3 linked regions of the Tribolium castaneum genome follow. The protein of the gene in region 1 purifies or fractionates together with the protein of each later gene. This does not show direct contact. Links are inferred from orthologs where the notes say so. Each region holds a gene or a part of one and is shown in the gene's direction. Other genes may lie near its edges.

The links. Proteins that work in one complex are often made in the same cells at the same time.
Region 2: the proteins of mini-chromosome maintenance complex-binding protein (region 1) and Mcm2 purify together in Homo sapiens (co-immunoprecipitation; 6 studies listed by BioGRID and IntAct, with this or other methods). This does not show direct contact. The link is inferred for Tribolium castaneum from reciprocal best matches to the Homo sapiens genes MCMBP and MCM2.
Region 3: the proteins of mini-chromosome maintenance complex-binding protein (region 1) and Keap1 purify together in Homo sapiens (affinity purification with mass spectrometry; 3 studies listed by BioGRID and IntAct, with this or other methods). This does not show direct contact. The link is inferred for Tribolium castaneum from reciprocal best matches to the Homo sapiens genes MCMBP and KEAP1.

Annotation. Positions count from the first base shown.
Region 1 is NC_087394.1:35,481,131-35,485,919, forward strand, and holds mini-chromosome maintenance complex-binding protein, read left to right. Parts: upstream 1-1,369; 5' UTR 1,370-1,577; coding exon 1,578-1,667; intron 1,668-1,716; coding exon 1,717-1,899; intron 1,900-1,949; coding exon 1,950-2,048; intron 2,049-2,092; coding exon 2,093-2,649; intron 2,650-2,701; coding exon 2,702-2,881; intron 2,882-2,945; coding exon 2,946-3,189; intron 3,190-3,237; coding exon 3,238-3,405; intron 3,406-3,452; coding exon 3,453-3,650; 3' UTR 3,651-3,707; downstream 3,708-4,789. Other genes in the region: vacuolar fusion protein CCZ1 homolog, read right to left, coding at 16-305, 360-535, 582-788, 836-929, 977-1,074, 1,119-1,193; ciliary microtubule inner protein 2B, read right to left, coding at 3,895-4,127, 4,370-4,594, 4,642-4,789. UniProt on the Homo sapiens protein: Associated component of the MCM complex that acts as a regulator of DNA replication.
Region 2 is NC_087400.1:2,398,521-2,402,882, reverse strand, and holds part of Mcm2 (DNA replication licensing factor Mcm2), read left to right. Parts: coding exon 1-113; intron 114-163; coding exon 164-850; intron 851-3,253; coding exon 3,254-3,718; intron 3,719-4,362. UniProt on the Homo sapiens protein: Acts as a component of the MCM2-7 complex (MCM complex) which is the replicative helicase essential for 'once per cell cycle' DNA replication initiation and elongation in eukaryotic cells.
Region 3 is NC_087395.1:20,702,196-20,705,779, forward strand, and holds the end of Keap1 (kelch-like ECH-associated protein 1B), read left to right. Parts: intron 1-603; coding exon 604-986; intron 987-2,256; coding exon 2,257-2,462; 3' UTR 2,463-2,790; downstream 2,791-3,584. UniProt on the Homo sapiens protein: Substrate-specific adapter of a BCR (BTB-CUL3-RBX1) E3 ubiquitin ligase complex that regulates the response to oxidative stress by targeting NFE2L2/NRF2 for ubiquitination.

The DNA of each region.
Region 1 (4,789 bases):
ACAAACGAAACAAACCTCTCATAAATAAACAAACGGACGCACTTAGCGCCCTATAAACCACCAAGTTGTAGGACTCGGCCTTCCCTGAGGCAAATAAATAAACTTTGGGTATTTTCCCCACATTTTTGGCTGTTTTTAAATTTGTAGGTCCCGTAATGAAACGACCGTGATGTAATGCAGCAAAAGGTGAAACAGAATTACGGGGCATTGAGCCCCCTTGAAGTTCAGCCTCCATGTTGGCGGGCAGTAAAGTGCCAATTAAATATTGGTACACAATTTTCATGTCTTTGGGTTCAAAACCGCTCCTTTGAATTAGTTATTACTTATAAAACAAGTTTTAAGTTATTTGAATTAATTACCATATGAGATGATCGTTGTATAAGAACGCTGTGTACGCAATTTCGGGATACTCGCATTCAAGTGAATTGATAAAACATTGGACTTTTAAAAAAGTTAGTTTGTCAAGAGGCAGATACTGAATTCCGTGGAACACGTTCAGAATATCAGCATGCCCTAGTTTTAAGGTTTTCAGATACTGTGAAGTATAAATTAAAATTTCTTAAATAATCTTGTTAACTTACAGCTTTATAGAAACTTTCAAGTCTTGTTTTAAGTGTGCCCACATCGTGGTTCTCAATCGTGTGTTCAAAAGTGCCCCAGAAAAGTCTATACGTGTAATAGGCTTGTTTTAAGACGGCTTCGTAAACATTGTCTTGTACATCATCCTCGAGATATTCGATTTGAGTTGAACTGTCCTTCCCCTTAACTTCGGTTGGTAAAGTTAACGTCTATAATATTTAGTGCTTAAAAGTATTGATTAAAGATGTGTAAATACCAAAACAATCCACATATTTTTTTCTGGTTGGAAATACAATTGACGCATTTTTTGCGTATGTAGTGAATTCACTGGAGTGCTTGGTTTAAATGTGCTACAAGAAATCTTACAGTTTTTTGCCCCTTATCTCAAACACTTTACCCAGTGAATTGAATGATCCCCTCAACTAACCCCACATTCTTTATTTGTACATCGGCATTGTCAGATATTGGATAATAATAAAGAATTTTTTTCAGTTCCTGGAAAAGACATTGTGATTGTGTTCTAAAAGGGGCGTACGCACCTCCCCTTCCTTGGGGCCATATAGAGAATTGAAAATAAAAAAGTTTTTTAACTCCACGTCTTTGTTTTTACTCATAATTCCGGTTCGAAACTTATTGAATAATATTATGTTTTTAGAAACAAATTTTTCAAGTCCAAAATTTTTACTAGGTTATGTTATGTTTAGCAATATCCATTGATCCATATTATTCATTTGCCATACATCTCAAACATTAAAAATACGCGGACAGGTACCAAAGTACCTACTTTTGCCGTCAGTTTTAGAACTAGAGCATATCTATTGTATAATTATTCCTTCCTCAAGTGTCTTTAATATTTTTTAAAGTTGTTTGGGATTAGGGAAATTGCAAGTTGCAACGCAAAGATTGACATATAATTTGGCGCCAAAAAGTGTAACCCTTTTTCGAGGTTATTTTCGGGTGTTCCTTTTTCTTTAAAAATAATAATAACGAGTGCAAAAATGGACTTATTAAACTGTAGGCCCGACCAATGGTACCTAAACGAAACGAAATATTCGGAATTACTTCAAAACGAACAAATCTGGAATCAGGTTAGAAAGTTACACTTTTACAATTTTTGAACACTTTGTACATTGTTAGATTCCACTGTTGAATGCAAACGAGCTGCACAATTTCCAAGACTGGCAACTGGTTCGCTTCCAGGGCATGATACAGGATATGCACGGTCCCGAACTCTACTTGGAAAAATTCACTGTTACAAACACTGAAACTGCAGAAAGTACTATTAAATACGGCAAATACGTTGATGGTGCAGACTGTAAGGTAAGAGTAATTTTTTGAAAGCTATTCGGGGGCTGAGTATGTGTTGACAGTCTAATGAAACCATTGAGGAATGTCCCTCAACCACTCCAAGTGAGCGGCATGTTTACGTTGCAATTTCAATCCCTGGTATTAATCCATGGGTTCATAAAGTGAGTATTGTTTTAATTGAGGGGTTGTGTAATAAAAAAATTAGCTTGAGGAGGACAGGTACAAACTACCGTCTACAAGCTCTTCAACTTCAGTGCACTTAAAACGACCCGTTGAAGAAATGGAAGTCGCTAGTGCAACTGAACCATCAAACTCTAACAAGCGCCCATGTAATCAGTCAGCACAACCTGCAGAAACAACACCTGTTGTTTCCCAAGAGTACCTTTTAAATTTCCCAATCCCCAATCCGTCTGGCAAAGTATGCCACTTAAAAGTATACAAAGACATGGACAAGATTAAATTGAACTCAATTTGTGAATTTGTGGGCTTTTTGTCCCTCAATCCGCTTTTAGGGGCTAACATTGATGATGATATGAACGGTCTGGAGTCTCAAATTCACAATCCTCCTCCGTGTTTAATTCCTAGAATTCATTGTGTGTCGTTCAAATCATTGACTCACAATAATCCATTAGTTACGCACGAAAAAATGAGCGCTGATAAAATGCAGATCATTAGAAAAGAACTTTTGATTCTATTAACACAATTAATGTGTGGAGATGAATTGGCAGCCGAGTATTTAATTTACCACTTCATTTCTAAAGTGTAAGGGAATTCGCACATTTGATTCTGCTATTTTTCACGTGTAGACTTTTAGCTACTTGCGGAAAGATTTAATGGCACTTGGAAAATTTTCCTTAAACATTTCCAACGTCCCAATGCTTGAAAACATTGATTATGTCCAGGAAATTTACAAGTTTGTAGAGACCCTCACTACCAAAAGTCATTATTTGCCGATGTTGCTCGAGAATATGAATGAGCTCAATTTTGTTCCAAAGTAAGTTCCGTAGCACCGTTATTTCAGTTTGTGTAAAATGATTCTTCTTGGCTTGTTTTTGAAGAAAAGACTACAGTTCGGATCGTTTAACAAGTAGTGTTTTGCAATTAAGTGATAATACTCATTTGGTGTTGGACGAGACGAAACTAACTCCGGGAAAATTAAACGAGGGCGGAGTTACCGGAGTTCGCGCTCTTTCAAACACCATCAAGAACCAAAAAATCATGTACGATTTCACGTACTATCAGCTCGAGTATGATTGTGATATTCCGTTTCTTGTGTTTTCTGAAGGCAAATCAATGCTGCCGGTTTGTACTTATCACTTTGTTAAACAGTTTTGAAAAAAATTTTTCTAGAGCGATGTTCATGTAATTCTCAAACCAGAAGAAATGCATTTAAAGACTTTCAGCGAGATTCTGGAAGCGGCAAAACATTTCCTCAAACCTGAGCTGCTAAATGATATTCGACTTTATCTAACTAACGCCCGGTTGACCCAATATGACTTATCAGACGGTGTGCTTGAGGTAAATTGCATTTTTTGGTGTCAATTATCAGGAAAAAAAAATTGTAGATGGTCCAAAATAAGTTTGTTGAAATGAGACAAGCTGGTAACATCACAGGAGACGATCTTCACAGTCTCCTTGTTTTGGCGAGACTTGTTTGCATCTCACAAGGAAGAAACACCTTGGATGAGGAATGTTGGAAGAAAGCGTGTGCCTTGGAAGAAGCCCGAAAAGAAAGAATAAAGAATCGCAGTTCCGAGAAATAATTTAAAAGATGTGGTTTTTATTTTCTATTTTCTGATAATAAATTGTCACTTTTTAAACATTGTTTCAATAAACAACCAAACAAAATACGATTACAGTACAACCTCTTTAATCCGAAGAACACAGTGCAAAGTTAATTCGGATTACAGAGGTTTGACTGCATATACATTTGCGCTTTGTGATATTTCACAACAATGAAACACTAAAGCTTCTATTCTCCCTTCAATAACGTTGCCACAAGCAACATTACGAAGTTTCTACTCTTTTGTGAAGATTTTCAAAGTCTTGCAAAACTCCAACGACTTGGTTTTGCGCCTTCTTCAAACTTTGTATCCTTTCTCTTTCCTTCTGTAACAGTGTTAGTCCTCTTTTTACGACTGTATTGTAACGCTGAGACAGCGATTCTTCGTTCCCTTTCACACGTGGGATGTGTCCCGTGTATCCGGCAATTGGTGGATAATCCGGAGAAATTTTATGATCTGCAAAATTAGTCAAGTGGGGTGTTATTTCCTCAGAGAATTTCGTGAGGGATTTTCCTTTGTATTAAACTATTTTATGGGCTCATCTAGCCATAATAAGTTTACTTAAAGTATATTTTAACTGTTATCTCAAATCGAGTATCAAATGTATTTCAGAATGGCTAAGATTTTTTTTCTGATAATACCACCAGTTTCGCTGAATCTTTTGTTGTGAAAATAGTAGATTTGTATCCGATATTTACCTTGGAATTTGTGTTTTTCAACGTATTCATTCATGGCACGCTTCACTTCGTCCTTATTTCTAATGGGATTCAATCGGGGCGCACTTTGGGCCCGAAACATTTTATCAATTTCTTGTTCCGCCAATTGAATCCTCCTGTGTTTGTTGGTCTCGTATTCGTAAGCACAGTCATCGGCGGTTCGACTGTACGACTTTCCGTAGCGAAAGTTCAGGGTTGGGATGAAACCTATTTTTAGGAAATTAAAGAAAAGAAAAATGTCTTTAATTACGTGCCTGTGTAACCGGTGATGTAACGCGGCGCTCTGCGTTTAAAATCGTCAGCGTAATCCTTAAACTGCCCCTTTGTCTTAACGATCGGGTCCAAAATGGGGGTCTTATAGTCCTGCGAGCGATAGTTTTCTTTTTGCACTCCTTGAAAAAT
Region 2 (4,362 bases), on another chromosome or scaffold:
TTAAATTCGATTGTAACAAATGTGGCTTCGTTTTGGGCCCTTTTGTGCAAAACCAGCACAGTGAGGTCCAACCTGGGGTTTGTCCCGAGTGTCAAAGCACCGGCCCTTTCATGGTAATTTTTCAAAAAAAAAAAAAAACAATAATAATTTGATAAAAAATTAGATCAACATGGAACAAACACTTTACCGCAACTACCAAAAAATCACGCTCCAAGAGTGCCCGGGGCACATCCCCGCCGGGCGCGTGCCCCGCTCCAAAGACTGCATCCTCCTGGCCGACCTGTGCGACCTCTGCAAGCCCGGAGACGAAGTCGACGTCACCGGAATTTACTCAAACAACTACGACGGCGCCTTAAACATCGACAACGGCTTTCCGGTCTTTTCCACCGTGATTTTCGCCAACCACCTGGTGGTCAAAGACTGCAAACAGATCGTCCAGTCGCTGACGGACGACGACGTCAACGCAATTCGCAAAATGAGCAAAGATCACCGAATCGCCGACCGGATTATTGCCTCAATTGCGCCCTCGATTTACGGACACGATTACATCAAGCGGGCGCTGGCGCTGGCCCTGTTCGGGGGAGAGCCCAAAAATCCGGGCCAGAAGCACAAAATCAGAGGCGATATTAATGTCCTGATTTGTGGGGATCCCGGAACGGCGAAATCACAGTTTTTGAAATATGTGGAGAAAATTGCACCAAGGGCTGTTTTTGCCACGGGGCAGGGGGCTAGTGCCGTGGGGCTGACGGCGTATGTGAGGCGCAATCCCGCCACCAGGGAGTGGACCCTGGAGGCGGGGGCGCTGGTGCTCGCCGATCAGGGGGTTTGTCTCATCGATGAGTTTGACAAGGTAACAATTTTTTTTTCACCATTGGCGTTGAATTTTTTTAATGAAAAAAAATTTACAAATTTTGTTGTATTTTTGCTGTGCATTTTTTATTGCGCCAAAAACAATTGGATGTTTGTTTATTCCGTTTTTCCTTTCAGTAAACAATTAAAAATATTTTTTTTAATCATTCGTTTAGTTGTAATAACAAAAAGTTGTATTTTTTCAAATGAGAATCATAGTTGGCTATGATATTTTCGAAAAGCTTATTTTTTCTGAACTCAAAACAATGTAAATATAGTTTGATATTTTTATATATTTTTGATAAAAAATATATTTAAAATATTTGAAAGTAGTTGGCCATGGAAAAACTATTTCGCATAAAAGGTGTGATAATCTAGAAATTTTGTGAACGGTTATTAAAGTAAAAAATGTGAAATTATAAAAATAAGCTATGTTATCAGCGTTTTTTTTAATCATTCGTTTAGCTGTAATAACATAAAGTTGTATTTTTTTAAATGAGAATCATAGTTGGCTATGACAGTTTCGAAAAGCTTATTTTTTTTTGAGCTCAAAACAATATAAATATAGTTTGATATTTTTATATATTTTTGATAAAAATGTATTTAAAATATTTGAAAGTAGTTGGCCATGGAAAAATTATTTCGCATAAAAGGTGTGAATAATCTAGAAATTTTGTGAATGATTATTAAAGTAAAAATGTGAAATTATAAAAATAAGTTAAAGTTATTTTCAATTGAACAAATATACGAGCGTCGCAGATTTTAATTACATAAAAATGTGCAGAAAATTGCAAACGATGTCTCACTACCACCTGATGCCACTTTTTTATGATTTAGTGCAATGGAGGTGACGTTGATAATGTTGTGTATTTTTTTACCGCAGATGGAATTTGATTTTGGTGTTTGGATTGACATTTTTTTGTAAAATAAAATTTTATTGATACGCAATCATACAATTAATAAGATTTTTCTCCTTCCGACATTTCTTGTTTAAAATTGGAAAATAGAATGACAACGTGAGCTTGCCATTTTAAATATAAAAAGAAAAAATTTTTATTAATTGCAAAAATTTGATCTAATAAAAATTTATTATGCTGTTTTTGAATTAATTAGGGTTTAAAAAATCATTAAATTATAAATACTTGTTGGGTAATACAATTTTCATAGTTTTAATTAAAAATCCAAAAATTTTTCATGGCCTACTATAAAGAAAAAGCGAAATGTTTTTTTTTTTCTTAAATATTTAAAATTATGTATTACACAAATAGACATATCAAATCAGAAAAAAATAAGCTTTTCGAGAATATCATAGCCAACTATGATTCCTATTTAAAAAAATACAACTTTATGTTATTACAGTTAAACGAATGGTTGAAAAAAATCGCTGATAACATTATTAGATTCTCTGAAAAAAAGTGCCTGGATAATGTCTTTGTTTCAAATGTGTATCTTTTATAATGAGAAAGATATGAATTTTTTAAGATTTCGCTAAAATGTCAACTTTTGTTTATAAGTCGAAAACAAAAGACGATAGCGAGATGCGGTTTTGACCAAAATTATTTTCTCAAAAAACGGACCCAAGAATGTATCACTCGTTTTTCTCTAGACCTCTTAGTTTCGGAGATTCCCTATTCGGACATTTAAAATAGAGCACCCTGTACATAAAGAAATGTGTTCACAGGTCAATGTCACTGAAAGATTGACTACTTTTTTTTTCTAGAATTTCTAGAATTGGTAGTATAATTTGCATTAACCACTTTTTTAAAGTTTTTTTTTTTGAATTGTTATGTAACATTTTTAGTTTGTTGTTTGAAAAAAAAAATAAGAGTTATCAAAATTTTTAAAATTGTTAAAAAAAAGAAAGTAGTTCCTCGTCACTGGGGTTACTTAGATAATTTTAAAGAAAATTTAAATATTTCCCGAAAAAAAGTTTTTCTATTCCTTTTTTTAAATTTATTTGTTACCTTCCTGTTGAGAAAACAGTATTAAAATTTTTGTTTTTTTTTTATTAGTAGCTTTTATTTCACTTGTTTGTTGTCTGTTTAATATTTTGCAAATATATTTTAAGAAGGTTCCAGTTATCCGAACGAACTGAAATTTTGCATACTTACGCAATTTTAGCGAACCTAAATAATATTCACTCTAATAAACACAAAAAAGGCTAACAGAAAAGAAATGTTATAAAAACTAAATGGAAAATAATATTACACAATATTGTAATCTTATGGCTCTTCAAAGAGATGATTGTTTTTTTTTGGTTTTTTAAATATTAATATAGTGGCCTAAACATTTCAAAATTTCAAAATTTGAAAAATAATAAATTTGTAATTATTATTTGGAGTAATGAAAAAAAACTGGCAGTTTTAATAAATAATTGGTAAGATTATAAATTGAATTAAATCAGATGAACGACCAAGACCGGACCTCAATCCACGAAGCAATGGAACAACAATCAATTTCCATCTCAAAAGCCGGCATTGTAACAAGTCTCCAGGCCCGCTGTTCGGTCATAGCGGCTGCGAATCCAATCGGAGGCCGTTATGACGCTAGTATGACTTTTGCCGAAAATGTGAACCTTTCCGACCCGATTTTATCCCGTTTTGACATAATGTGCGTGGTGAGAGACGAAATTGACCCAATCCAAGACCAACACTTGGCGAAATTCGTCGTCAACTCGCACATACGTCACCACCCGTCCAAAAAGGGCCAAACTTTGGAAATTGAGGACAGTGACAACGACCTAACCATCCCGCAGGAAATGCTACGCAAATACTTGGTCTATGCACGCGAAAATGTCCATCCGAAGCTGCAAAACATGGACCAGGACAAAATCGCCAATATTTACAGCCAACTGCGACAGGAGTCGTTGGTAAGTGGCTAAAAAGGTCCATAACTTGTGTATTATTAAAGATATTGACTTTTTCTTTTTTTTTACATTATAGCTGTGTTTTTGCGGCATGTTTGTAAAATTCGGAAGTAAAATTACCGTTGGGGGCGCCACTGAGCTAGGTCGAAAACAGTAACCATAAATGGCGGGAAAATGTTTATTCGGATATTTTGAGCGTTATACGAATTTTGGGGCTTCACAATTATTACATTGCCTATGCGGAATGATTATTGCATCTTTGATGCAAGAAACTTATGTTGACAAATGAGAGATGACGAGGAAAACACGAATAACAAATGACTGTTTGGTCCACTTTCTTTATTGGAAAATTATTACAAAGACATTGAAAAGCCTACCTTTTGGCATAATTTACGTTTAAATGTATCAGCAGTTGTTAATCTTTATTGTAGTTTTGTAGATTTACCGCAGCATTTCATGATTTTTTCAGTGGAAAATTCTAACCTAAAATTCATAACACTTCACTAATTTATTGGTTTCTTGAGCCAAACTTTGTGTTCGCTGTGATCCATTACTTATAATCTTTAATTAGACAACTGTTTGATAACACTTTGTAATCAAAATTTAAATATTTTTCACTTTTTATCCACTTTCAAGTTCCAACAATA
Region 3 (3,584 bases), on another chromosome or scaffold:
CGTTATTATTTGGCAAAGGCTAACATTTCCTAAGTTGCGTACAAGTTGAAACTCACAGTAACTACAGGTGATTTAAAAGTCGCCGACCATCTTTTGGATATTGATAGCTGACATTAAACTAAGTTAAAATTCTTATGACAAAAAATTGTTTGAGCCTTTTTTCACAAGCTTTATACTTTTTGAAAAAATCGTCATATTGTATTTTATGGTGTTTAAAACATTTACCACCAAACTAGTACATTTGACATTAATTCAAATCTGACAACATCAGCAACAGATTAATAATAAAACCAAATTAAAAAAAACTTATAATCGTTGATAATCAATAAACGCGTTATAATATTCCAAATAATTTGCAAACTATTTCCTCGGATAACATTTTAATTGTTGCATTGTTTTGCATACTTCCAAATAATTATAATTAGAAACTGCATCTTTTTTGCTATAACCGTCAATTCTTATCTATATTATCCTTATCAATATTTTTAATTAAATGTTTTTCTAAATTGAAAAAAATTATCGAGACGACTTGAGAGTTTACCTTGTTTCTTACAAAACAAGTACCCGTCTAAAGTTAAGTCTAAGTTGCTGTTTATTTTTCAGCTACGATCCTGATTTGGATAGGTGGACGACGATAAAACCTATGCATTTCAAACGTCTAGCGGTTGGTGTCGCTGTTGTCAACCGACTGCTATATGCAATAGGTGGTTATGACGGTACCCAAAGACACAATAGTGCAGAGTGTTACCACCCCGAAAATAACTCGTGGACTATGATAGCCCCCATGCATACGCAACGGAGCGGCGCTGGAGTTGCCGCAATTAATCAGTACATATACGTAGTTGGTGGATATGACGGCTCGAAGCAACTGAATACAGTGGAAAGATATGATACGGAGAAAGATACTTGGGAATTTGTTGCTAGTATGAAGATTGCAAGAAGTGCCCTAAGTGTAACGGTCCTAGATTGCAAAATATACGCAATGGGTGAGTGTTTCAACAACTACGGTAGATTCAAAAAAAGTATTAAGAGGTGAAACAAATCATTCGTACTACATTTCGTTATTTTAGTTAAGTTACTAAACGAATATTTTATGTCACTTTTAAAGACTCTTTGATCGCTAAGAGTACAATAAAACTCATTTGATTCGATTTTTCTCTTTTTTTTAAATTTTGAATGGACTTTTGGTATAAATAGGCACGACATTGATAGCTACTGAAAAATCGTTGCCGAAGAATTTTTTGGGTTTCTCCTCAACACATTTTTTAGAAGGTCTTACTTATGCATGTTCTGAAACATTGCTGTTAATTGTGTTTGGAACTTTACCCAAATCAACAAAAATTTATATTTATAACATTTTTTTACAAACCGGTTTCCTAAATTTTGAACGTTGATTACGTTCAGTGTTTGCGATAAAAATACAGTTTTTTAATACTTTAATATCCTTTAAACTAGGCTTTATAAACACTAATCGATTTATTGGAAAGTTTTACGTACCTATGGTCCAAAGAATTATTCCAGTATATTAATTTGTCGTAAAAGAAAAAAAATGTGCAACATGTAATTAATGTTGTAGGACAATCAAGATTGGTTTGGGAGATTAAAAAAAAGTTTGTTTTGAACGTTACGACCGGCGTTGAAGTTTGATGTGTCGCGATATAACAAAAATTCGAATTCGATTTTTCTAATCCAATTACAAATTTTTTCGCAAAATAAAAAATATTTCTTATGTGAAATGGATTTACACAATAATTACTGGTCAAAACCCAAAATTCATTCGATGATTTTGATGATTTAGGAACTTTAGAACTTTTGTCATAAGTTTCGTGTTTTTTTTTCTTTTATGACTGTCTCTTTCATTTATTTTATTTTAGTTTGTTCATAAAGTAAATTCTAAGTAAATAAAGTTAATTCTCTACTGGCCGATTTATAGAAAGCTTCATTAAATTTTAATTCGTTGTTAAATGTTAACAACGCAAATAGACCAATCAAATTTGTTCAATTTGGTCACGTGCTCAGTAAATCAGACATTTAATTGCGGATTAAATTAATAACGCTTCTTCTATAAAATGACACTACAACTTTTTATTTCATATTTTCACAGCTGTATTTGTTATTTTTTCTTCTCTTTTGGAGAATAGAAGGTTCAGTATTCCTGTTTTTTTTTTATGCAAATTGCTCTTGAATTCAGCTCACTAAATTTTTTGTGTTTCGCCTCCTTTTTAGTTTTGTAGACTAATTTTTAATAACTTTCAGGTGGATATAATGGTCAGGATTTTTTAGCGAACGTAGAAATTTATGATCCTTTGAGAGACGTATGGGAGGATGGGGAACCGTTGACCTCGGGTCGATCAGGTCATACTAGTGCTGTTTGTTACCAACCACCTTGTACTCAGAAGTGTAGGATTTTATCGCAAATAAACAATAGTTCGAGTTCGACGTCATCTTCCACCATTAAGTAATAAAGGCGTTATGTCGGATTAAAAATAATAATAATAATCTTTACCTGACTGAAAATAGGTTAAACGTGCATTTTTGTTGCATCAGTTCAGTTATACATCTCAATATATGTGATAATATTTGTCAGAAGTGTGTATGGAGTCTATTGTTTTGTTAAGAACAGAAAAAATGACGGTATTTAATAATTTATTTATGTAAATGAAGATGTGCGTGTGTGAGTTTTCTTATGATTTTGTAGATACTTTAAACCGATTTAAAAATCTATTGTTCTTGAAAGTTACTGTGAGACAGTATTTATAAATGTTGAATAAAACATTCCCGTTGCCTTAATTTATCTTTTATTGGCTATAATCCCTCTAACATGGATATGTTTTATTGTGCTGGATTTGTTAAAAAAAGGGAAAAACAGCAAACCTATTCTAAGTTTAAACGGACATTGCAATTATCCCTCATTTTCTAATAGTATTTTTTTTAATTTCCTGGATTAAAAAAAATAACCAAGCTTTGTAGAAAAAGAAAAACTTGTACAAATAAATTTGGTTCTAAACTAAATTTAAATAATTGCAAATTAAAAGGAAGAGTTAGAAATCAGGGTGACGTTTTTAAATGACAGAATAATTAAAAGAATAGATACGAAGTATATAATACAATATAATATTGTATTATATAATATAATACGAAGTTTATATAACTAATTGGATAAATGAGTCAATAATCAATCGGACCTTGAAAAAAATTGTCATACATTTTTCATCCGATTTTAAATTACACCACAAGTACAAAACATCTATCGTCAACATTTAATGATTGTTTTGTAAGATTTTCAACGGTTATGACATGAATTTACAAATATTTTCGTAAGCACATATTTTTAAAATGAGTAACTAGGTACGCGCAATTGCCCATCTTAATAATTATTTAACAAAGATCATCATCTAATAAGTATTAGATACGTAGGTGCAAAAATTACTTGATTAAATCTTTTTAGATCTTTAGAATTCCTAAGTTAAATAAGAGTGTTACCTCCAGGAGTCTTTTATAAAAATTACAAGTTGATTTTTACAAGTGACAAGTAAATCACTTGTAATTTATGAAACGGGCCCCTGATAAAGCTTATTTGAACG